Linked DNA regions of Canis lupus familiaris. The protein of the gene in region 3 interacts with the protein of the main gene of each other region in a pairwise test. Links are inferred from orthologs where the notes say so. Each region holds a gene or a part of one and is shown on either strand. Other genes may lie near its edges. The genes, in order: EIF3G, DDX19A, MIF4GD and DDX19B.

Region 1 (6,415 bases), on a different chromosome or scaffold from region 3:
ACTGAGCCACCCAGGTGCCCCTCTTTAAATTTAATTTCAGGGCAGCCCCAGTGGCTTAGCGGTTTAGCGCTGCCTGCAGCCTGGGGTGTGATCCTGGAGATCTGGGATCGAGTCCGCGTCGGGCTCCCTGCAAGGAGCCTGCTTCTCCCTCTGCCTGTATCTCTGTCTCTCTCTCTCTCATTCTCTGTGTCTCAAATAAATAAATAAATAAATAAATAAATAAATAAATCTTTAAAAAAATACATCTAATTTCAATCCAGTTACATTTAATTTCTCCCTAATGATAGAAAGTAAATACTTAGGCATAAGATTTTGTCTAGGAGAGTTGCTTTTGGAGAGCCACCAGCCATTGTAATAATATTCAAGGTGTTTTGCTACCCAAGAATTCATTTTAGCCCCCTTGGGAGCCACGAGGCTCCCACTGAGAATAATACCCTACAGGGACGGCTGGACAATAAACAAGTGAGTGGGAAGGATTATATCAGAGAGCCAAGAATGTTGCAAAAGAAAGGAGGAAGAGGGGCAGAGGGGCCCTCTGACATCTTGATCATTTGAATCAGGAAAACTCTTCCCAGACCGGGAAGTCCAGCCTGGATTCTTCACCACCTGCCACCATACAATTTCTTCAGAAAATTATAATTTCCCCCTCACAGTGCCTGGCCTACAATAAGCTCTCGAGAAGTGAGCTTTAGTGTTATTAGTACCTTTAAATTTTTTTTTCTAAAAACTGGATCATTTATGTGTCTGTTCCTTTTCTTTCTTTTTCTTTTTTCTTTTTAACTGGGGTTCCATTCATTTAGTCCTATTGTTCATGGACTGCTACTTTGTATATAAAACATGTAGAGATCATTTAAGGTTTTGGGCTCCAGAGAGGAATTACTTCTGCTCTCTGGCATAAAATTAGAATAGGAGAAGGTCATCTTTTTTTTTTTTTTTAAGATTTTATTTATTCATGAGAGACACAGAGACACAGGCAGAGGGAGAAGCAGGCTCCATGCAGGGAGCCTGATGCGGGACTCATCCCGGGGCCCCAGGATCACGCCCTGGGCCGAAGGCAGGCGCCAAACCGCTGAGCCACCCAGGGATCCCGAGAAGGTCCTCTTAATTCTTGAATCTGGACTAGCTAGTCCCCTTCCCAAATCTTATTTTTGATATTTGTATTATTTTTCACTTTGCCCATTTTCATAACATTTACATTCTGTTCTGTGCTCATGACCTCCTAATTGTTTAGCGTTCATTCTAGTTATAAATGGATTCATTGTTCAGCACTATTCACTATACTCACATTTTTCTATTTCTGGTTTATGTATTATTATTCATCTATGAGTTAATTAGACTTCATCATTAAGCACTGTCCTTATTCTTTTAATAGGGTCCTTCCATACATTCTCTCATATTTGAAAATGTGCACAAGTCACCTTTATATTCAACTGATATCTTGGTCTTGATACTTCTGAGTCATAGTCCGCTCGCAGTTTTGTGCACGTTGCTCCATTGCCAACTGGCATGGAATGCTGGTGTGGCAAAATCTTAGCTCAAACTGATTTTTCTCCTTTGTTGGTGATTTTTTTAAAATTTTTTATTTATTTATGATAGTCACACACACACACACACACACACACACACACACACACACACACACACACAGGCAGAGGGAGAAGCAGGCTCCATGCACCAGGAGCCCGACGTGGGACTCGATCCCGGGTCTCCGGGATCACGCCCCGGGCCAAAGGCAGGCGCCAAACCGCTGCGCCACCCAGGGATCCCTGTTGGTGATTTTTTTTTTTTTTTTTTTTTTTTTTTTTTTTATGATAGTCACAGAGAGAGAGAGAGAGAGGCCGAGACACAGGCCGAGGGAGAAGCAGGCTCCATGCACCGACCGGGAACCCGATGTGGGGTTCGATCCCGGGTCTCCGGGATCACGCCCCGGGTCAAAGGCAGGCGCCAAACCGCTGCGCCACCCAGGGATCCCTGTTGGTGATTTTTTAAAAATAAATTTATTTTTTATCGGTGTTCAACTTGCCAACATATAAAAGGTGAAATGAATGGAATGAACGAAGGGAGGTGCCACGGCCGGCGCCTCCGCCTCCGGCCGCAGGGGGCGCTGTGGGCGCTGCTGCCGGGCTGCTCTGGGCCGCGGCGCAGGAAGTCTCGTCCTCCCCCCACTTCCGGTCTCTGGCCCGGGACTTGTGCTGCGTGGAGGAGGTTTTGAAATGCCGACCGGAGATTTTGAGTGAGTCGAGGGTCGCGGAGCGAAGCCTGGGAGGCGGCTTGGGGGCCGTGGGGGCGCTCCTCGGGGCCTGGCCTCGCTGACCCAGCCTTCCCCTCCGCCACCTTGCCCTTGCAGTTCGAAGCCCAGCTGGGCCGACCAGGTGGAGGAGGAGGGCGAGGACGGTGAGTACGCCGGGTCGCCCCGGGTCACGGGCGCCTGCGCCGAGCCGGGCACCGCCGTCCGGTGCCGCATCTCCCCCCGCGCCTCCCGCCTCCCGCCAGCCTGTCGCCACTTCCAAGTGTCCGGCTGGCCGGTCCCCCCGCTCCCTTGCCACCGCCCAAGCCTCACAGCTGCTCCGGGGAGGAAGCTGTAACAGCCAGCCTCCTGCTTGGGTGCGAGCGCCGGATGTCTTTATGGGCTGCCCCTCGCTTTCATCCTTGCCATTGCGCGAGATTACTCAGCCAGCGCCACGGCCTGGCACGGCTAGCCCAGGGCACTTGGTCCCCAGGCCTAAGCCCTTGGCCCTGCCGTCTAGGCCCCTGGTGTGGGCGTCATCCCAGAAGTCCCTTCATTTTAGCTTGGGAGCCCTCGCCCCTCCAGCTCACCCCTCCTACCCACACTCCCCTTCCTAGACAAATGTGTCACCAGCGAGCTCCTCAAGGGGATCCCTCTGGCCACTGGCGACACCAGCCCAGAACCTGAGTTAGTGCCGGGAGGTGAGTGACGCCCTCAGCTCCACTCGGGGCTCCCTCTCCCCAGCAGCATTCCCCTCCCCCTCCATCACCCAAGGCTCAGTTACTTCCCCTCTTCTCTCTCCCAGCTCCACTGCCGCCTCCCAAGGAGGTCATCAATGGGAACATCAAGACAGTGACAGAGTACAAGATAGATGAGGATGGCAAGAAGTTCAAGGTGAGGCTGGGGGAGGAGTTGGGGGCCCCTTGGCCCGGAGGGGATGGTGTGTGTGTTGGGTAGGTTGGGTTGATTAGCTCCAGAGCCTTGAAACACAGGAATTCGGAGCCTCTCCCCTCCCCTCCACAGATCGTCCGCACCTTCAGAATTGAGACGCGGAAGGCCTCCAAGGCTGTTGCAAGGAGGAAGGTGAGACGCTTCTCCTCTTGTCTTAGAGGCTCTCCCAGGGCTGGCTTGGAGGAATTAGGAATCCTTTTTGTTGACAGCGTTTTGATCTGATACCTTTATTTTTAGAAGTGGGGTTCAACTCTGTCTCTATTCTGTTGGATCAAGGGGGTTTAAGGTTGAGGGGTGTTTGTGCTCTGTTGGGACCCTGAAAAGTCCAGGGTGCAGAAGTTGGGTGGTTTAGATTAACTCCGCTCAGCTTGTTTACTTGTTTACCAGAAGGAACAGAGCCAAGCCCTCCCCTCAGGCGGTCATAGCAGCTCCTGTTTAACTGGGCTACATGCTTAGGAAGAAGTGATAGCTGTAAATAGCATTGGCACAATTTTCGGTGGACTTCCTCTGTGCCAGACCTCAATGGCAAGTGTTTTGCAGGAAGTGTTTTCTCATTTGCTACCCCTAGCCGTCCTGGGAGGTGGGGAACATTTGAGGTCTCCATTTTAAAGGGGAGGAAGCTGGGATCCCTGGGTGGCTCAGCGATTTATCGCCTGCCTTCCACCCAGGGTGTGATCCTGGAGTCCTGGGATCGAGTTCCACGTCGGGCTCCCTGCACGGAGCCTGCTTCTCCCTCTGCCTGTGTCTCTGCGTCTCTCTCTCTCTGTCTCACTCTCTCATGAATAAATAGATAAAAATCTTAAAAAGGTGGGGAAGAAAGCTGAAGCCTAGGTTTTTTTTTTTTTTAAAGATTTTATTTATTCATGAAAGACACAGAGAGAGACTGAGGCAGAGATATAGGCAGAGGGAGAAGCAGGCTCCGTGCAGGAAGCCCAATGTGGGACTCCATCCCAGGTCTCCAGGATCACGCCCTGGGCTGAAGGCGGTGCTAAACCGCTGAGCCACCCGGGCTGCCCAAGCCTAGGTTTTTTTTTTTTTTTTTTTTTTTTAAGCCTAGGTTTTTTAACTATCTCAAGGCCCCTCACAGTCTGGGTGACCCCTGGGCGTCACTTCCTTATGGGAGCTGGCCCACCTCCTGTCATGGGTGCCTCAGGAATGGTTAACTGTGTGACTGTTTCCCCCTGGGCCTTGGTTCTCTCCTCTGGAACTTGGGCTGAGAGCCGTCCCCACCTCCTGGAGCTGGCCTGAAGCTAGCGGCTAGCACATGCCAGGAGTGGTACACGCTAGGAAATGGGAACTGTCGTTGTCACCACTTTTGGGAGACTTGGGGGAGGGAGAAGAATGTGGTTCAAGGCTGAAACACCCTGAAGGGAGGGCTTTTGTAGGTCGAGTGGTGGTGGGGGTCCCACTTGCCCTTACAAGTCCCCCATCCCGCCCCGAGCCCAGAACTGGAAGAAGTTTGGGAACTCGGAGTTTGACCCACCAGGGCCCAACGTGGCCACCACCACAGTCAGTGACGACGTGTCCATGACATTCATCACTAGCAAAGAGGTGAGTTGGGCAAGGGTCTGGGCCGGTGGCTGTGATGGTGGTGGCCAGGGTGTGGCAACCCTGCTCTGACTGCCACCCCCCCCCAGGATCTGAACTGCCAGGAAGAGGAGGACCCGATGAACAAGCTCAAGGGCCAGAAAATCGTGTCCTGCCGCATCTGCAAGGGCGACCACTGGACTACCCGCTGCCCCTACAAGGACACGCTGGGGCCCATGCAGAAGGAGCTGGCTGAGCAGCTGGGCCTGTCCACCGGCGAGAAGGAGAAGCTGCCCGGAGGTGCCTGGGCCTGGGATTTGGCTTGGCGGACCACGGGGTGGGGCGGGTTGCGTGCACCTCTGGGAGTGTCCTCGGTCTCCACCCGCTGCTGTGAACGGGGCTGTCCGCATCAGAAGTTGTCCTCTCTCACTGGCACCAGCGCTGCCAGGCTGTGGTCTGTGTGAGTGTGCGAGACCAGCGGGGTGGTGCCAAGACTGCTGGTAACACCACCGTTGTTCCGTGTTGGGCTGGCGAACCGTTCCTTTATGGGTCTGGCTGCGTGTGCTTGAGACTTGGAGCTGTGATTCTGCTGCAGACTCTGTGATCAGACTGGAGTGTGCCTTGTTTGCCACAGAGGGGACCATGGCCTGTGTGCGTGGGTGTGTGCACGCACACGCGCAGACTCGCACATGTGACTGCAGCCTGTGTCCATGTCCTTCAGTGTGATTTGCTGATAGTGGGTTGACTCTGCAAGTTTTACAGCTGTGATTCGGTGTGCAGCACATTTGTTAGCTGCCATGAGTGTGGGGCCCGGGGGCTGCCCCTGCATGTTCCTGTGTTCTTCTAGCTCTCAGCCCTGGGGCTGCCAGTGGGATCTTGCTCTGACTTGCCAGATGTGACCTTCATGTCCTGGCGGCCAGTGGAACAAACCAGATACCTGTGGCTTGATAGACGGTGCCTGGGCTGGGTCAGGGCCAGAGCTGCCAGCGCCCTGGGGTGGATCTGTCCCTCACCTGTGCCAGGGTGAGGCCTGACCCAGCTGCTTTGGTCTGCAGAGCTGGAGCCCGTGCAGGCTGCCCAGAACAAGACGGGGAAGTATGTGCCACCGAGCCTGCGGGATGGGGCCAGCCGCCGTGGCGAGTCCATGCAGCCCAACCGCAGAGGTGAGTGGCGGGTGGGCACCTCTTAGTCCCATGGTCATCCTTCATTCAGGGCCTGGTTAGGGCTGTCCTCTACAAGCTGTCGCTCCTTGCCTGTGTAGCCGACGACAATGCCACTATCCGTGTCACCAACCTGTCAGAGGACACTCGTGAGACTGACTTACAGGAACTCTTCCGACCCTTTGGCTCCATCTCTCGCATCTACTTGGCAAAGGACAAGACCACTGGCCAGTCCAAGGTGGGCGGTGGCTGTGGGGATGGGTGATGGGGTCACCTGTCCTAGTTGTGCCCTAAGGGCCTCTGACTCTACCCCCACTCCTCCAGGGTTTTGCCTTCATCAGCTTCCACCGCCGTGAGGATGCCGCACGAGCCATTGCTGGGGTGTCTGGCTTTGGATACGACCACCTCATCCTCAACGTTGAGTGGGCCAAGTAAGACCTGTCACACCCCTGCCTCTCCCCACCTCTTCGCATCCCACACTCAGGTTGACTGTGGGCCCCACGTTAGTTTAATAGTCCCCAAGCCTCTTCTGAGGTACAGGTTATTTAAG
Region 2 (4,941 bases), on a different chromosome or scaffold from region 3:
GGGTTCCCGTCCTTGTCCACGGGAAGGTCAAAGTTGATGACGACAGAAACCTGCTCGACATCAATACCTGCATGAAAGAGGTGGAGAGGTCAGGAAGGGAGACAAAAATCACCACCAGCCAAGCAAGGCCAACATATACCAGCTTCATGTGGAAGAAGAGTCTGGGGCAGGTTGGCTCTGGGATTTGGGGCCAAGGGGCACCTAGCAGAATCCAGAGGGAAAGACAACTTTGGCAGGGTGCCAACAGAATTAGGACATCAGTAATGCAGCCAGAACCTCACTGGGGGCCCCAAAGAGAAGGTGCCATTCTGGACCAGTGAGGTGCCTGTCCCTGTCCTTCCACCACATCAGGGCCCCTGGCTTCTGTGACAATTCTCATCTGCTGGGGGAATCCAGTCTCTCCCAGGAAAGAATGCCAGCACCAAGCCCATGTGGACTCGCCCCGAACCAGCAGAGCGCCCCATACAGGAGGACTTCCCTTGCTACTCAGGGCCTGGCAGACAGATTCTCTGCTCACCGCGGGCACACACGTTGGTGGTCACCAGCACCTTCTCCTTGCCCTCTCGGAAGCGCTCAATCACCGCAGCCCTCTGCTCCACCATCATTTCGCCACTCAGCAGGGCCACCTGGTGGCCTTCTTTTGAGAGCTCTGCTGCCAGCCAGCTAGCTGTTTTACGGGTCTGCAAAGAAGGAAACATTTGAGAAATCAAGGTATCTGAAAGAATATTTTTGATCTAGAAGACTCTACCTGAAACTTACCAGCTGATGGTTAAACTTCCTAAAATGATGGGGCGCCTGGGTGGTTCACTCAGTGGAGTGTCTGCCTTTGGTTCGTGATCTCAGGGTCCTGGGATTGAGCCCCATGTCGGGCTTCCTGCATACTCCCCCTTCTGTCTCCCCCCACTCCACTCATGCTCCTTCTCTCTCTCAAATAAACAAACAAAAAAAAACAAAACTTCCTAAAACTGTTAACATGACATGCTGTGACAGGAAGTAACAATGTTACTTGGATATTTATCTCACAGAAATATTTAACCTGAATATAATCACGAGGGGGAGAAATGAAAGAAATTCTTAACACTACTTACTAGCTTGGACACTTCAATATGTTGGAGTCACAGAAGGTGGGGAAATTGTTCCAGGTTAAAGGAGTCTTGAGAGACAGGACAACTAAGTGCAATGATTTCTGACTGGCTCTTACATTTAACACCACCAACCAAAAACAATAAAGAAGGTTTTTGGTACAAGTGAGGAAAATGGGATATGGATGGACTAGACAGGGGATAATATTATTATGTCATTGTTAAAGGTAGACAATGGTATTGGGCTTATGTAGCAGCATGTCTCATTCTTGGGAAGTACTTAGGTGTAAACTCTCATGATCTCTACAACTAACTTTAAAATACTTCACTAAGGGGCACCTGGGTGGCTCAGTTGGTTAAGCGTCTGCCTTCAGCTCAGGTCATGATCCCAGAATCCTAGGATGAAGCCCTGTATCGGGTTCTATGCTCAGCAGGGAGTCTGCTTCTCCCTTTTCCTCTATGCTCACGCACATGTGCACTCTCTCTCAGATAAATAAAATCTTTCCAAAAAATTAAAAATAATAACTTCACCAAAACCAAAAAGCACGGATGTGTCACACATGTGAGCACATGGATAAAAAGCAAAGTGGCTAAATGTTAACAATAGGTGAAAGGCATAAAAGTGCTCAGTTTCTTTTTTTTTTTTTTTTTCATCTTTTCTGGAGATTTGCAATTTTCAATCCGAAGGTAACAGTCTAAAAAAGCTTTTTCAGGGGCAGCCTGGGTGGCTCAGCAGTTTAGCGCCACCTTCGGCCCAGGGTCTGATCCTGGATACCCGGGATCAAGTCCCACATCGGGCTCCCTGCATGGAGCCTGCTTCTCCCTCCGCCTAGGTCTCTGCCTCTCTTTCTCTGTATGTCCCCCATGAATAAATAAATAAAATCTTAAAAACAAACAAACAAACAAACTTTTTCAATGACAAGTCCTCTAGTAACAGAGTAAGATTTGTCTCATTCTAATATCCCTTAGCATCATTTTTGTTTTCTTTTTCCTTAACAACATTTTTGAAGTGTTCTTCAAGTATCCTGAATATTTATTCTTGATTTTTTTCCTATTAATAGGATCTAGCCTTCCTTTTTTTTTTTTTTGACACAAGGACAATGTTTTATTTTTAAGTTACTATGTTACTGTATGCAGAGCAAAAAGTATAGTGACTTATCTATTTGTGCATTCCTGTTTTACACATCCTTGAATTATAAATGATTGAACAAATAATCAATTATTAGCCTTCTATTTTTTAAGTATTTGCTGTTTGAGGGCAGCCCAGGTGGTTCAGCAGTTTAGCGCCACTTTCAGCCCAGGGCGTGATCCTGGAGATCCGGGATCCAGTCCCACATCAGGCTCCCTGCAGGGAGCCTGCTTCTCCCTCTGCCTGTGTCTCTGCATCTGCCTGTCTCTCTCTCTCTCTCTCTCTGTCTCTCATGAATAAATAAATAAATAAATAAATAAATAAATAAATAAATGAAATCTTAAAAAAAATTTGCTGTTTGAGACTAGAAAACAACTTATATTAATTTTGTAACCAGCTACTATATTTAGTCTCTTATTTTTCCTACAATTATCAGTTGATTCTCTTGTGTTGTCTAGTAACATATCACCTACAAATAGAGACTCTATTTTTTTTTTTTAAAGTAAGCTCTAGGTCAAACAAGGGGCCTAAACTTATTATCCCCAAGATCAAGAGGTGCATGCTCCATGGCCTGAGCCAGCCAGTCCCTTAGGAACTCTATTTTTAAGCCATGTATACCTTAGGATACTAAGACAGCACTATCCTACATCTTTATAAACCATTCCTTTCTGGCCACACAGGGCCTCTGGTCCTCCTCAGCACCTAGTTGGAGCTGGCTGTGAGGAGGGGCAAGCACCTCCTCCAGGGCAACTCCTCCCCCAGCAGGCCTGCTGCTGCCACTGCTACTCACATGGCAGAAGATCATGGCCTGAGCAATGGTGATGGCCCCGTAGAGGTTACACAGGGCCTGGAACTTCTCATCTCTGTTATTGCACAGGACGTAATACTGTTTGATGGTGTCCAGTGTCTCCTCTTCACGCTTGAGTTTGATGATGTTTGGATCTGGGACCACTTTCTGGGCAAATTTCCATACAGAGTCTTCGAAGGTGGCAGAGAAAAGCAGCATCTGGCAGTTCTTGGGCAGCATCCTGCAAGGGAAGACCCAGGTATGTGGCATGATCCCGAGTCTTTCCCTGGAAGGAACAGAAGACAGCTGCCCGGGGTTGGGTGATCCACATGCCCAGGAGAGTGGCAGAAGGGGGAGGAGAACAGCAGGGAGGAGGCGAGAGCAGCCATGGGGCAGGGACGGGGCTGGTGTTAGATTCCCTAAATCTCCTTCCTCAACCCGTGGTCAGTGCTGACGAGGATATTGCCCATCAAACAAATGCTTCTGAAGGTTCTAAAAGCAAATAACCCAGCTGGAGAAAGAAGAGGGGTTAGATATAGCAGGAGGAGATACAGTGAACAAGATTTTTACTTGCAGATCAAGAGGCGAGAAGTTCCTCTTGGCTCAAGAGTTCCTACCTCTGGATGCGGATGCTCTGATCTTGGTGGCCCTGAGTAGCTATCATCACGTCAGCCTCATCCAGAACAAACACCTTGATCTTCTTGGGGTCAATGAACTTGAGCTTGGAGCACCAGTCCAGAACAGTCCCAGGGGTGCCAATGACAATGTGCTCACTGATTTTCTGACCTCTTTCCACTGTGGAGACAAGACATTTTCCGTGGGTATTTCCATGGCAAACCAGTTTTGGAAATCAAAGCCTTGCCCATCCTTCCAGAGTGAGTAAAACAAGTTAATTCCAGATGTCAAAACACAAGAGCATTATCCATAAGTCTTGGATTCTTCTATTTTAAAGTCGTACAATGGCACCTATGTCCCAGCATAGTGGTCAGGATTCAATCCTATGCAGTGAATTCTCAGTAAGTGCCATGTCTCTCTTCTGTTTCCTCCTGTAATTCAGCATTATCCTACTCATTCTCCTTGGCGTTACTCTTACTCACTTTGCATCATACATTCACTCACAGTTCACAGATTTTCTCTTCAACTGGTAGTTTTGAGTCCCAGGATCCTGGCCTAGTGAGCTTTAGTTAACATTCTAATATAGACAGTCTTCCTAAGTACATGTGCTAAAAAACACATTACTCTCAAATTATAGCTGCTGGAGTTGAAACTGGTACAACCACCTATTAAAATTACTAATGTGCATAGTCTGTGACCAATACTCCATGATTAGGAATGAACCCCGTATGTATGTTAACATGTGTACAGTAACAAATACGCAAGGCTATGCCGGCATTCAACAGTAACTAATTAAGCAAAGTAGGGTACACACAATGGATGATGCCAAGAAAAGTAAAAAACTACTTAGGAACTGATAAGGAAAAATCTCGAAAATACATTATGAAACGTGAAAAAAAGTTGCAAAGCAGTTTGTATACCAAGAGGCAAAGAACGAATACATGTAATACATATACATGTATGAAGTGTACACATTTACATACTTACGCACACATGCACGCACACACACACACGATGTGCCTGCAGCCACACAATATCTCTGGTGCACCACATGAGAAACTGGTTAGTACTGAGTGCCTAGAGAATGGAGAGCTAGGTGGTTGGGGATATGGGAGAAAAAAGTTTCTACCACATAATACCTTCACAAGTTGAAAGGATAACTATTTTAAAAACAAAATTTAATTTAAGGAGAAGGGCCTTTCATTAGAAATTCATCAGTTATCCATTGGAAAATTTTTGAATTAACTCAAATGTAGTTCTCAATGTCCACTGCCTCTAAGTCAAAATTGAACCTTTAAAAATAATACATTAAATATAGTTAATCTATT
Region 3 (5,401 bases):
CAGCTTTTACTTCTGTGTCAGTGTTACAAGTGGGTGTTCTAATCTGCTTTTTTAATGTAGCGTGGAGACCCTCATTAACATCTGTGTCCCTAGGGTCTGGCATGGTAGCTGGCATATAGTAGTGGTCTAGCAAACACTTACTGACAAGAGCGTCTTGTTTTTAGGCACCCCTGATCTGAGTTGGCTAAGTCACCCCAGTTTGATGGGGCTTTTCCCAGTTGATGTTCATATCAACCTAGGTGAGCTTTCATTTAGAGGTGAGCAAGGTCTTTGCTTAATGAGCATCTGTGCAATGAATGCCTCTATGTCTGTTGCACTGAGATCTGCCGGGAGTGAGGGGGACTCACAAAGGAGAAGCCAAGCCCCTCTCCTCAGGAGCATTGTCAGTGCTAGCTCAGAGGGAACCTGTGGCTACTCCTTAGAGCTCAAGGAGGAGGGAGGCTGCAGCCCTGACAAATTGTTGGACTAACTTGCCCACGTCTTGTCCAGGTCCCTGTGCCACTTGCTGATCGGCGTCGTCGCTTCTTGGCCATGAAGTGGATGATTAAGGAGTGCAGGGAGAAGAAGCACCGGCGGATGCTGATGCCAGAGAAGTTGTCACACGAGCTGCTGGAGGCTTTTCACAACCAGGGCCCTGTGATCAAGAAGAAGCATGACATGCACAAGATGGCTGAGGCCAACCGTGCCCTGGCTCACTACCGCTGGTGGTAGAGGTGCTCCACTGCAAGAAATAATGGGAGCCACTATCCCAGTGAAAATCACCTGCTGGCTAAGTAGTTCCTTTTTAAGGGCAGGCCAGCCTAAGGGTGGAATAATGTATTTATGCCTGTTAGTCCTTTGTTTGGGGGGCTGGACGTGCCTTTCCTGCTCTATCTCCTCACAAAGAGGAGACATCAATCTGGATTTCCCCCAGGAACTTAGGGCCTATCCAGCTTCTCTCTCAATTCAGGGTAGAACTTGGAATGATAGGAAAGGAAGCAGTTTTAATATTAGAAACGATTTATTAGAAAATTCTCGCCCTGAACTGGTGTAGCATGTGATATGGAAACTGCCATTTACTAAAATTGACTGGAAATACATTCGTTTCCAAAGTGGTCCTTGTACAAAATGTATAAAAAGCAGCTTCTGGGGTGACTTGTGCTCTGCCCCTCAATATCCCAAAATATCCCACCAGTAGCTCTGGGTACCCATTTTACAAATGGGGAAGCTGAGGCACCAAGCTGGCTCTTGCACTGGTGGTTACACAGTGCAGTGGGTGTTAGAAGCTGCCTTTCTCTGCATGGCCCAGGCTGGAGGTGATGGGGTAGAGGTTGATGGGACGGTGAGGGCAGGTCTGTGTGGTGTCTTCCCCAGTCCCTGAATCCAGGAGAGAAGGTGCTCAGGGCAGGACCACCATGTAAGTGAGGAACTTCTCAGGAGCCACTGAAGGTCTGCAAGGGACAGTCTTTGGGAGAGTCAGGGAGTTGGGTAGGTGAGAGGCCTGTGCTGCTGGTGAGGCAGCCTGAGCTGGAGGCCTAGTCGGAGACCTCACTGTAGTAATACTTGTGGGCAGCCGGGGTCGTCTTCCAGCCAGCTGCCCGAAATTCGATGATTTCAAGCAGCAGCAGCTGGGCCAGGGAGCTGAGGCCGCTGGGGAGCAGGAAGCCGTCCCGGATCAGGACAAAGAGCTCATCCATGCGCTGTCGGTTCATCTTCTCCAGCTGCTCCCCTACCCGGTGCAGCTGCAGCACCAGGCAATCCACCTGCAGGGGGCGGGAGATGTGATCCCCAGGGTGGTGCTAGCCCATCACAGCTGCTGCGCGCAGGCCCCCTACGCCTTCCCTGGTCATGCTCACACCACCTGGTGGGTGTTAGCCACATCTTCCATTAATGGAGACAAGTTCAGGACTCCCGTGAGCTCTCCTGGGCTGGACTGGATGCCAGGCCTGTCTCTAAGCTGCCACTTAACCCAGGCTTTCTGCCCCTCCCCGGCCCTGCCAGACTGCCTTTCTGGGCCATCTGTATCCACAGCTGGATTCCGATCACAGGATGGCTTTCCTACTGGGAAGAAAGCGTCTGAGCCTGAAGGTTTGGCCTGCTCTCTGTTCTGGATAAATTCCAGGTCTGGCAGCTTGTCCTGGAACTGAGACAGGCCTTGAATATCCCCACCAGGCTCCTGCCTTAGGAAGTTGGTGCTCTCGGATGCCTCCACAGACAGTGGGCTGGTATTCTGAGCCGAGCCAGGGCTTGCCCCTCCACAGCTGTCAACCCGGATCACCCACCTCCTCCTCCTTGCTCAGACTGTCGGGCTGGGCCAGCCGGAAGAGGCAGTCGTACACAGGGTTCACCAGGGCCATCATGGGCATGTTGTTCACCTGTAGGGGGAGAGCAGGGGGTGTGCAGAGCCCTGGCTTAGTGGCTGAAGGAGATAGGCTGTCTCTGCTGCACAGGGTGGCTACCAGGGCCTCACCCTCAGGTAGTCAAAGATGTTGCAGATAAAGGTGACATAGCAGACCCAGCCCTGCAGGGACCGGGCTCGCAGCTGCTCCCGAGCCTGGTACTCCTGCTGCAGCCGGTTGAGGAGTCCCCGTCGGAAGACACTCTGGCCTGCTTGCTTGCTCTCAGCCTGTGAGCCAGGGAAAGGAGGGTGAGCCGGAGGCAGTGCCATGGTGGGCCCCCCTCCCAGCTTCAGTGGCTGAGGACCCTCTTGTCTGACTCCACCTCTCAGGGAAGCCGTTTGCTCCTGTCCTGCCAGCAGCCAGACCTGCCCTCTGCTTCAGCCTTTCCCAAAACGTCTCTGCGTTTCTGCAGTCCCAGCCCACCTGAATAATGGCATAGCACATGCGTCCTGCTTCTTTGCTGAACACGCAGTCCTGCAGAGAATGGTCCACGATCACGTTGGCCACCTTTTCCAAGTCCACAGCACCTGGCTCTAGGGCAGAGATAGGTGGGAAGTCTAGAGTTGCTGCTGAATTACTACATTTGTCTCCACGTGCTTCTAGTTTGAGATGTTTTCAAAGGAGCCACCCCCCATGATATGCTTACATTTAAAGAGACCAGAAAACACCAGGAGAAGTAACCACACAGGAGCAGCTGGTGGCTGGGTTATGCCGCTGTTGGAGACTAATCACAGAACGCTAGTTTTCTTAGGGCACACATTCCCTGGCACTAAGATTGCGGAAGGAGCACAGAATAACGATGTGTTTGACAGCAATTTCACAGAAGAAAGTGTTCTTACAACACACACACATGAACCCCTAACAAGAGCGGGCCAGGCAGGGCCTCCCCAGCAGGCTTAGCTTGGCATGTGATGGGCATTACTAATTGTTAGCTGAGTCAAACTTCTGTTCTGAGTGCTGCAGAAGGCACTGGTCCAGGACAATTACTGCCTCTCTTCTGCCAAGCAGAGTGCTCCATCCTCTGTCCCGAGTCAGCCAGCTCTGCACATTCAAGGCCACCTGCTGTGGCAACTTGGAAGCCAGGTCCAATGTAAGCGCTTAGGAGACAAGAACTCCGTTCTCTGTGCTCCATCCCCCTTTCATGGGTCCTTAAACCTTAAAAAATGGCTTTGCTGCCCTAGAGGCGACTCTATGATTCATTCTTTCAATTACTGGCCTCAGTGTAGCTTGTCCTGCCGTCCAAGAGTGACTTTGCTGACTCCTGTTCTCAGAAAGCAAAGGGTTGGATGTTCCCAGGCTCAGACCTCCAGGCCCATCCCACTGGCCCCATCCCTACAGCTCAGGAGGGCTCCCATGCTCACCTTTGAGTGCTGTCTTCAGCAGCTGCTGAGTCTCTGCATCAAAAGACTGGATTTTATACTCCTCTCTACCAGGCTCCCCCATGACCATCCAGCCCCCACAGCTCTTTACAGAGGAGGGACTAATGACAGCACCTGGGAAGGAGAGGGGAAGGGAGAGGCCTCAGGTGTGCAGCGCAGGGCCTGGTTTCTACCTTGCAGGCCCCGGCCAGGGCTAGCCAGGGCTGGCCAGCGCTCGGGACAGGTGCTCCCGGCCAGTCCATTGCCTTGGGTGGTTGGCTGAGGGCCCAGGAAGCTTGACTTCTGGTGGAGACTGGGCACCAGCCAGGCACCTGCTGCTGTTTAGAACTCCTGTAGCTTCTGGGGTTACACAAGAGGTGAAGGTGGACGTGCCTACCCTTCAATTTCCATAGGAGGTAGAGTTATTCTTGATACCCAGGCTGGGGGGAGGTGCACTGCGCTGGGGGTGTTGGTAGGGGGCATATCAGACGGCTCCCTGCCTTTCCGGAAGCCCGCCTGGAAGCTGCTCGCCCAGCGCGACTTCCAGAGAGTGACAGGGCCGAGGGCTCGGGACACGTCCATCCCAGCAGGGTTCCACTCGCCCCGCCCCGACTCATCCCTGGGCTGTAGTCAGAATCCTCAGTCCCAAACCCGGCCGGCAGCCCTCGGCCTGGCCTGTGCGGGCGGGTGCGGGGCTGATCCGCTCCGGTCCGGGCCAACTTCTCCCCGGGACAGACCGGGTAAACTGGCCTCCCGAGCGGCAGAAACCCGACCCTGCCCACTCAGGACTCCACACTCGGGAGCTCCATCCTGGAGCCTTCCTCCTAAAGACGAGGGGAGCCGGTGACGCGTCTCCGGCAGTCCCCGTTGGAGTCCCCTCTCCGGACGCGGTGCCTCCCCCCGAGTCCAAGGACGACCTCGGGCATCTCCAAAGCCGGGCGGCTTCCCCAAGCCCGGAACCCCCTTCCGGGTGGCGCAGCGCAGCCGTCCGGGGTCCCGCGGGCGGGCGAGGCCGTGCGAGCGCCGGGACCCACCTGCCGGGCCGGCGCCGCGCCCGCGGGCCCAGAGGCCGCTCGACGGGCATGGTGCGCGCCCCCGGTCCGCCGCGCTGCAGGGCTGGGGCGGCCGGTCGGGCCTCGCCGCCGCTTAGGTCATTTCCGAGCGCGGCGCGGGGCGGGGCCAGCGCGGGGCGGGGCCAGCGCGGAGGGCGGGGCCGCCCCGCCAGCGCCCCCTGCCGGAGTCCCGGCGACGCTGTCCTCCCCGCGCGTGCTCCCGAGGTCCGGGGGGCGCCGGGAAGGCCCGCGACGCCGCCCGCAGCGAGTCCTCACTCGAGTCGGCCGCGCCGCGCCGGACCCGCTCCTCCGCCCAGAGGAAGCCCTCGGTCGCCGGCGGCGGGGCCCCCTCCCACGCCCGGGGCTCAGGTTAGAACAGGATGGAAAGAGACTGGGCGGGGCGGCGGGAGGACAAGGAGGGCTGGCCCGTCACTTCCACCTTCCGCGCGAGAGAAGGCAATGGGACCCCTAAGGGCTGGATCGTCCCCCCACCCTCTCCTCCAAGTACAAACCGTACTGCTCAGGTTGAAAATCAGCGGACCAGGGCCGCCCGGGTGGCTCAGCGGTTGGGCGCCTGCCTTCAGCCCAGGGTATGATCTTAGGGTCCTGGGAT
Region 4 (6,361 bases), on a different chromosome or scaffold from region 3:
TAGTTTTGGAAATATGTAGTCCCAGATCCTAATTCTCCCATGGCACCTAAAATATTTTTATCATCTATAAAATGGACTTAGATCTTTCATTTATTTGCTATCAGGTCAAATGAGAGTGATTGAATAGTTTTCAGACCATAAGTTTTTAAGGAAATACCTGGTATCCTAAAATACAGATCCTGATTTAGTAGGTATAGGAATGAGGCCTGAGACTGCATTCTGATAGGCTCCCATAGGTACTGATATCTATGATGCTGCTGCTGCAGCTGCTGGAAGATCACACCTGGAGTAGCAAAGGGCATAAACTAGGAATGAAATTCTTCACCTATGTTCAAGGATAAAGATTTAAAAGTTTGACATATTTGGGGGATGTCCATTCCTCATCTAGTCACTCACCAAATGGGTATCCATTATGCATTCGTCTCTGAAGATCAATATTAAGGAAAGCAGACAATGCCCTGCCCTCATGAAGCTTCCAGTCTAGCAAAGAGCTGGATATTCAGCAAAATATGACAAAATTCAATATGCAAAGGGCCCCTTGCTGACCTAGACTCAGCCTTTAGCTTCTAGGCCCACTTGCCGGAGGCTGGGTCGTCCCCTCCGCTGATTGGCCGGACCGCTTCAGGCCCCAGCCAATGAGGCGGGGGCAGTGAGTGGCGGTTGGTGGAGGCAACCGCCCTGCTGAGGGGCGATGGCCGGGGCTGCCGGCCGCCTCCGAGGCCGTGCCCTGGGGCGCTTTCCGCTTTCCCTGCCCGTGGGCGACGTGAGTATCTCTGAGGTTAGAAACGAGACCCTTTTTCCACATTTTAGCGTCTTCCTCACCCCCATCCCTGGAGGGGAGAGGCAGGAATAGTGGTAACAGCTAATATTTATCAAACCGTTGCCATTGACCAGGCAACGGTTATATCACATAACCGTGTGACTGTTGAATCACTGAGCGGTGCAGTGGGTACTTAACCCACTTAAGAATGACTTCAGAGAAGATAGAGGCTGCCGAGGTCGTGTGGGAGGAAATCCAGAAGGCTACCTTCAAATCCGGGGGCTCTTATGACCTTGAATCCCCTCCACGCTCCACTTTGTAAACTAGAGCGCTTCTTAGCAGGTGGCTCATATTGTGCTGGGTGCCTGGGTGGGGATAGAAGACCCTAGAATCCTGATGCTTATTAAGTTTTGGGGTTTTTAATAGAGAAAGTAACATGTGCTAAAAGCGTTTGTGGGAAAGATAAACACCAAATTCAGGAGAGCTGCTGTCTCTTGGGATGGTCATACAGGAAGCTTCCATCAAATCTTGTTTTCATTCTTAAACCCTAAGGTGGGAACCTATGGATGTCTATTGTATGCATTCCCTTTCTTGTTTGTCTGAAATACAATTTTAAAAGGAAAACATGCACATTGAAAATTTCAGAGGATGAAGTGTACACATCAAAAAGGAAGTCTCTCCCACCCCAGATTTCTAGAGCCCCTCACTAGGAGCAGCTGTTAGCAGTTTTGTGTGTATCTCATACATTTTCTATAGTACCTACAAACACATGAGAGGTTTTTTTTTTTTTTTTTTTTATCTCCTCACAAGTGGATCCTACTATATACAGTATTGCACTTTGGATGATTTCCTTTTTAACCGCATTAAACTTAAAAAAAAAAAAAAGTCTTTAGCCTTCATTAGCCCTGTGATCAATATAACTTTGCTGGCAAGATATTCCCAGGGCTGCTTCCGATATGAGATGTAGGTCACGGCTTCCCTCACTGTGTGTTTGCCTTTTTCTTTTTGCACGTCCTTCCTGTAGGTTCCAAAAAATAAAAAAATCTTCACCAAATTAATTCCCTCAAGAGTACAGGAGAAAAAGAGCCATGGCAAATAAAGTATTGCCTGGAACTGCTTTACCTTTCCTGAACTTTCTTACTCATATTCTGAAGTAAAATCCCACATAGAGCCCACTACTGCTTAAAATTAATTTGCTGAAGAAAAGTGGCAAAGAGAAGTGAGGATTCATCTTCTCACCTTGCAGGAAAATGCCCAGCTTCTTATCAGTGAAGTAACAAGGGGAGAGAACCTTGTTTGTTTTCAGTTAGGGGATAGCGGGTGTCAGACATTATTATTTTACCTCTTCTAAAAATCCAAGGTATTTTTTTCCTTTTAAAAAAATTCCCCCAATCACACAACTCTTACATGGAAGCACTAGGGATTCCATTCCAGGCACAGCTAACTCCAAAAGTCCTGTCAGATTCGCGATGTTCCCTGGAATGAATTCATTTGCTCATTAAGCTGCTTTGCATGGCCCATTGCCTCTACCTCCAATCTCTTCATCTCTGGTTCTTGTCAATCCCCGCAGGAACTGTGTCCTTCAGACACAGGCCTCCTGGCCTTTTCTCTCCTCTCCCTGGAACACATTTCCCTAGCACCTTCCTTGAGTATTTTTGAAAGTGAAATTCCTGCAAGTCGTGTTGCCGACATAGTCTGCAGGACAAACTTTTAACCAAATGGTGCTTGACATGGCTGATTGCCAACCCCTGGGCATTGAAATGACTGTCCTGAAGAGAAAAAGATCGTCTCAATACGCATTTTGGTGACGCCTGTATTAGTAAAGGTCCTGTGTTTTGATAGATTGGCTCTCTATGAGCTTCTGTGCCAGCGCGCTCGTGGCCTGGAGGTCCAGTTGGCAGTCTGCGTCTCTGTTCACCAGGTAGACAGAGCTAAGCAAGGGTCAGCGCCGGGGGTCCGAAAGCGACGGAAGCTGCAGCTCCCGGGGGGCGAGGGGCGGCTGGGCGGGCGCAGATCCGACGTCACTGCGGCGCGCCGCTTCCGGTCCCCAGCTCCCGAGCGAATGACTGCTCCCTCGGTGGGGCGGGAGCTGGGCTTGCTGCGACGCCAGGGAGCCCACGATCGCGCCGCCCCAGCCAGCGAGTCTGCCAGCACCAGCGTCCCGCCGGCGCCTGGGACCATGGCCACCGACTCGTGGGCCCTGGCGGTGGACGAACAGGAGGCGGCGGCTGAGTCGGTGAGTTGGCTTCAGGCGTAAATGGGTCAGGGGGTCAGTTTTGGCCGGGGATCACCCTTGTGTAGGACACTCGCTGCTTTGGCCAGGACGGTATAGGATGCGTGTGAGGCTGGAGCCTGAACCTTGAGCTGGCTTTGTTTATCCATCCGCCTCCTGGGTTACATAAGAGCAGGTGAGTGCTCCCATGGATCTAGCGCCCAGCCGCCTGTCTTCTGGAATCCAGACTGATCGAGATTGCGCTCTCCCCACTTGGATTATAATCTCCCTGTGTCATTCCCTACCTCTGGATTGTGAGCTTCCTGAGCTCTGGGATTGTGGCTTACTCATCTTTGTGTGCTTCCTTACTTGCTTACTGATGATGAATGAACGACTCCATTGGCCCGGTAGTCAGTAAATCCTCTTCTCTGATCACCTTAATTTTGTTCTGGGCTTAGTACACAGTAAGCAAGATATGACTTAAACATGACTATGTGGAATTAACTCCTTCCACCTAAACACTTTGAACCTACTTCTGTTAGTACTTCTGTGAATTTCTTGAGAATAAGGACTCTTTCTTATTTTTTATACAACTGATAATAAATTATATGCACATAATTCAAAGAGTCAAGTAGTTTTGAAAACTGGTTCCACCACCACCAATTTTTCCTTCCCAGAGAAAAACTAATAGTTCTCTTGAAACGGATATACATCATTGACCTCCTTGTTCTCTAAATCACAGGGTTTTGCTAGTTCTTGAATTTTCAATTTTAGGTATTTACTGATTTTAATTCTTTCCTCCATCCTTTCTCCACCACACACGCACACCTTCCCATTCCTTACCTTTTCATTATATTGTAATTTTAGTTAGATCAGTATTTCATGTTTATCTTATTAGTAGCTTATGATACTTTTACTTTCCTATAAAGTTTTGTTTTTCCTTGGAATTTATAAAAAACACGCTTCATGGTTTTTTTTGTACTTATCACCAGTTCAACCTCAGGCACTTTGCTAATTGTTTAGTTTATCTCAGGATGTTCAGACAAATTAAGTATTCTATTAATTCGGGGGGCCTGGGTGGCTTAGTCAGTTAACCAACTGACTCTTGATTTCAGTTCAGGTCACAATCTTGAGGTGGTAAGATCCAGCCCCATGTGGGGGTCCGTGCTCAGTGTGTAGTTTGCTTAAGATTCTCTCTCTGGCCCCTCCCACTGTTTCATAAATAAACAAAAAAACTTATTATTTTTAAAGATTTTATTTCTTATTCATGAGAGATACAGGGAGAGAGGCAGAGACATAGGGAGAGGGAGAAGCAGTCTCCCCACGGGAGCCCAATGCAGGACCCGATCCCAGCACCCTGGGATCATGCTCAACTACTGAGCCACCCAGGCGTCCCTAGAATCTTTAATTTTTATTATTATTTTTTAAAGATTTTGTTTGTTTATTCATGAGAGACGGGGGAGGGAGGGTCGGTGCAGAGACACAAGCAGAGGGAGAAGCAGGCTCCATGCAGAGAGCCTGACATGGGACTCGATCCTGGGTCTCCAGGATCATGCCCTGGGCTGAAGGCAGTGCTAAACCACTGGGCCACCTCGGCTGCCTAAGAATTTATTTATTTATTTATTTATTTTTAGAATCTTTAATTTAAAAAAAAAAGTCTATTAATTCTATTTCCCCCAGGTCTTTTAGCCTACTTCATACTGGACTAGTTCTCCCTAGGTTTAGAGCAGAACTCATTTCAAGGACTGGAGAGGAACAAGACAGATTTCCCTTCACCTTCATTCTGAAGATTCACTCCTCTTCTCTTGTACTGGATCCCCTCCTTTCTGTATCCTCTCTTCATCTTTCTTGATTTTGTGCAACCATCCATCCAGCTTTCTGGAGTATATAAGAAGTTTTTTAAAGATAATATTGCATTTCTGGAAATAATTATTTTGCTCTATCATTTGGATAGTGGTATGGCTCGGTCTAGAGCTGCAGGTTGGGAATTAATTGCCTACCAAATTTTAAAGGCATTGTCTCATTGCCTTTTAGACTTCTTTATTGGTTATTGAGATGTCTGAGACCATTCTGATTCCTGATGTGACCTGTTTTCTCATTTGTAATCCATAAGAATCTTTTTTTTTTTTTTTTTTTTTTAATTTATGATAGGCACACAGTGAGAGAGAGAGAGAGAGGCAGAGACACAGGCAGAGGGAGAAGCAGGCTCCATGCACCGGGAGCCTGACGTGGGATTCGATCCCAGATCTCCAGGATCGCGCCCTGGGCCAAAGGCAGGCGCTAAACCGCTGCGCCACCCAGGGATCCCATAATCCATAAGAATCTTCTATTTGTTTCCAGTACACAGAAAACTCATGATAATGAGTCCTGGTATAGGTCTGTTTTCATCCACTTTGCTGGGCACTGGGTAGGTCCTTTCTTTTCTTTCAATTTTATTTTTAAGTAATCTCTACAACCAATGTGGAGCTCAAATCCACAACCCTGAGATCAAGAGTTGCATACTCTTCTGACTGAGCCAGCCAGGCATTCCTGGGTGGGTCCTTTCAATCTGGAAAATTCTTGTCCTTAAGTTATGAGAAATTTTCTTGAAAAATTTCATTATTGATTTCTCCTCCTCTGTTTTCTCTTTGCATTCTTTCAAGAATTCTTACTACTTGACTGTTGGACCTCTTGGCCTGGCCCTCTAAAATTTTTAAGTCAAGTTTATTGAGGTATAATTTACACAGTGTAAAACTCATCCTTGTTCTGTGAATTTTGACTAAGGCATCCAGTTGTGTAACCACCACCACAATCAAGATACAGAACAACAACAACAACAACAAAAATTAAAAAAAAAAAAAAAAAGATACAGAACTTTTCCACCACCTTCAAAAAGTTCCCTCAGGGATCCCTGGGTGGCTGCAGGGATGGTGCCTGCCTTTGGCTCAGGCCATGATCCTGGAGACTGGGGATCGATTGGGCTCCCTGCATGGAGCCTGCTTCTCCCTCTGCCTCTCTCTCTGTGTCTTTCATATGAATAAATAAATAAAATCTTAAAAAAAAAAAAAGTTCCCTCAAACTTTCAGTCACTCCCTTCTCCCTTCCTTTTCTGGCAACCGCTGGCTTGTTTTCTCTTTAGATTTGCCTATTCTGAACATTTTATATAAGTAGAATCATACAGTATGTGGTCTGTTGTGTCTGGTTGCTTTCACTTAGCATAATGTTTTCAATGTTCATCTATGTTGCAGTAGGTATCAGTACTTGATTCCTTGATATTGCCAAGTAATATTCCTTTGTCACATTTTATTTATCCATCAGTGTCCACTGATGAGCATTTGGATTGTTTTCTACTTTTTCATTATTATGAATAATATTGCTGTGATTATTCATGTACAGGTTTTTGTGTGGAC

Evidence for each region.
Region 1: the proteins of MIF4GD (region 3) and EIF3G interact in binary tests that used the Homo sapiens proteins (3 or more experiments, as listed by UniProt). The link is inferred for Canis lupus familiaris from reciprocal best matches to the Homo sapiens genes MIF4GD and EIF3G.
Region 2: the proteins of MIF4GD (region 3) and DDX19A interact in binary tests that used the Homo sapiens proteins (3 or more experiments, as listed by UniProt). The two-hybrid records come from large-scale screens. The link is inferred for Canis lupus familiaris from reciprocal best matches to the Homo sapiens genes MIF4GD and DDX19A.
Region 4: the proteins of MIF4GD (region 3) and DDX19B interact in binary tests that used the Homo sapiens proteins (3 or more experiments, as listed by UniProt). The link is inferred for Canis lupus familiaris from reciprocal best matches to the Homo sapiens genes MIF4GD and DDX19B.

What each region holds. Positions count from the first base shown.
Region 1 is NC_049241.1:51,336,922-51,343,336, forward strand, and holds the start of EIF3G (eukaryotic translation initiation factor 3 subunit G), read left to right. Parts: upstream 1-2,118; 5' UTR 2,119-2,213; coding exon 2,214-2,233; intron 2,234-2,347; coding exon 2,348-2,394; intron 2,395-2,844; coding exon 2,845-2,928; intron 2,929-3,032; coding exon 3,033-3,121; intron 3,122-3,250; coding exon 3,251-3,310; intron 3,311-4,624; coding exon 4,625-4,729; intron 4,730-4,815; coding exon 4,816-5,005; intron 5,006-5,760; coding exon 5,761-5,868; intron 5,869-5,966; coding exon 5,967-6,103; intron 6,104-6,189; coding exon 6,190-6,296; intron 6,297-6,415. UniProt on the Homo sapiens protein: RNA-binding component of the eukaryotic translation initiation factor 3 (eIF-3) complex, which is required for several steps in the initiation of protein synthesis.
Region 2 is NC_049226.1:76,932,603-76,937,543, reverse strand, and holds part of DDX19A (ATP-dependent RNA helicase DDX19A), read right to left. Parts: intron 3,794-4,941; coding exon 3,616-3,793; intron 3,240-3,615; coding exon 3,002-3,239; intron 681-3,001; coding exon 518-680; intron 68-517; coding exon 1-67. UniProt on the Homo sapiens protein: ATP-dependent RNA helicase involved in mRNA export from the nucleus.
Region 3 is NC_049230.1:6,106,063-6,111,463, reverse strand, and holds the end of MIF4GD (MIF4G domain-containing protein), read right to left. Parts: 5' UTR 5,306-5,401; exon of another isoform or gene 5,301-5,305; intron 4,864-5,300; exon of another isoform or gene 4,771-4,863; intron 3,872-4,770; 5' UTR 3,828-3,871; coding exon 3,740-3,827; intron 2,912-3,739; coding exon 2,802-2,911; intron 2,606-2,801; coding exon 2,450-2,605; intron 2,355-2,449; coding exon 2,262-2,354; intron 1,743-2,261; coding exon 1,515-1,742; 3' UTR 1,239-1,514; downstream 1-1,238. Other genes in the region: MRPS7 (28S ribosomal protein S7, mitochondrial), read left to right, coding at 490-711. UniProt on the Homo sapiens protein: Functions in replication-dependent translation of histone mRNAs which differ from other eukaryotic mRNAs in that they do not end with a poly-A tail but a stem-loop. May participate in circularizing those mRNAs specifically enhancing their translation.
Region 4 is NC_049226.1:76,887,773-76,894,133, forward strand, and holds the start of DDX19B (ATP-dependent RNA helicase DDX19B), read left to right. Parts: upstream 1-2,799; 5' UTR 2,800-2,822; coding exon 2,823-2,996; intron 2,997-6,361. Other genes in the region: AARS1 (alanine--tRNA ligase, cytoplasmic), read right to left, coding at 397-468. UniProt on the Homo sapiens protein: ATP-dependent RNA helicase involved in mRNA export from the nucleus.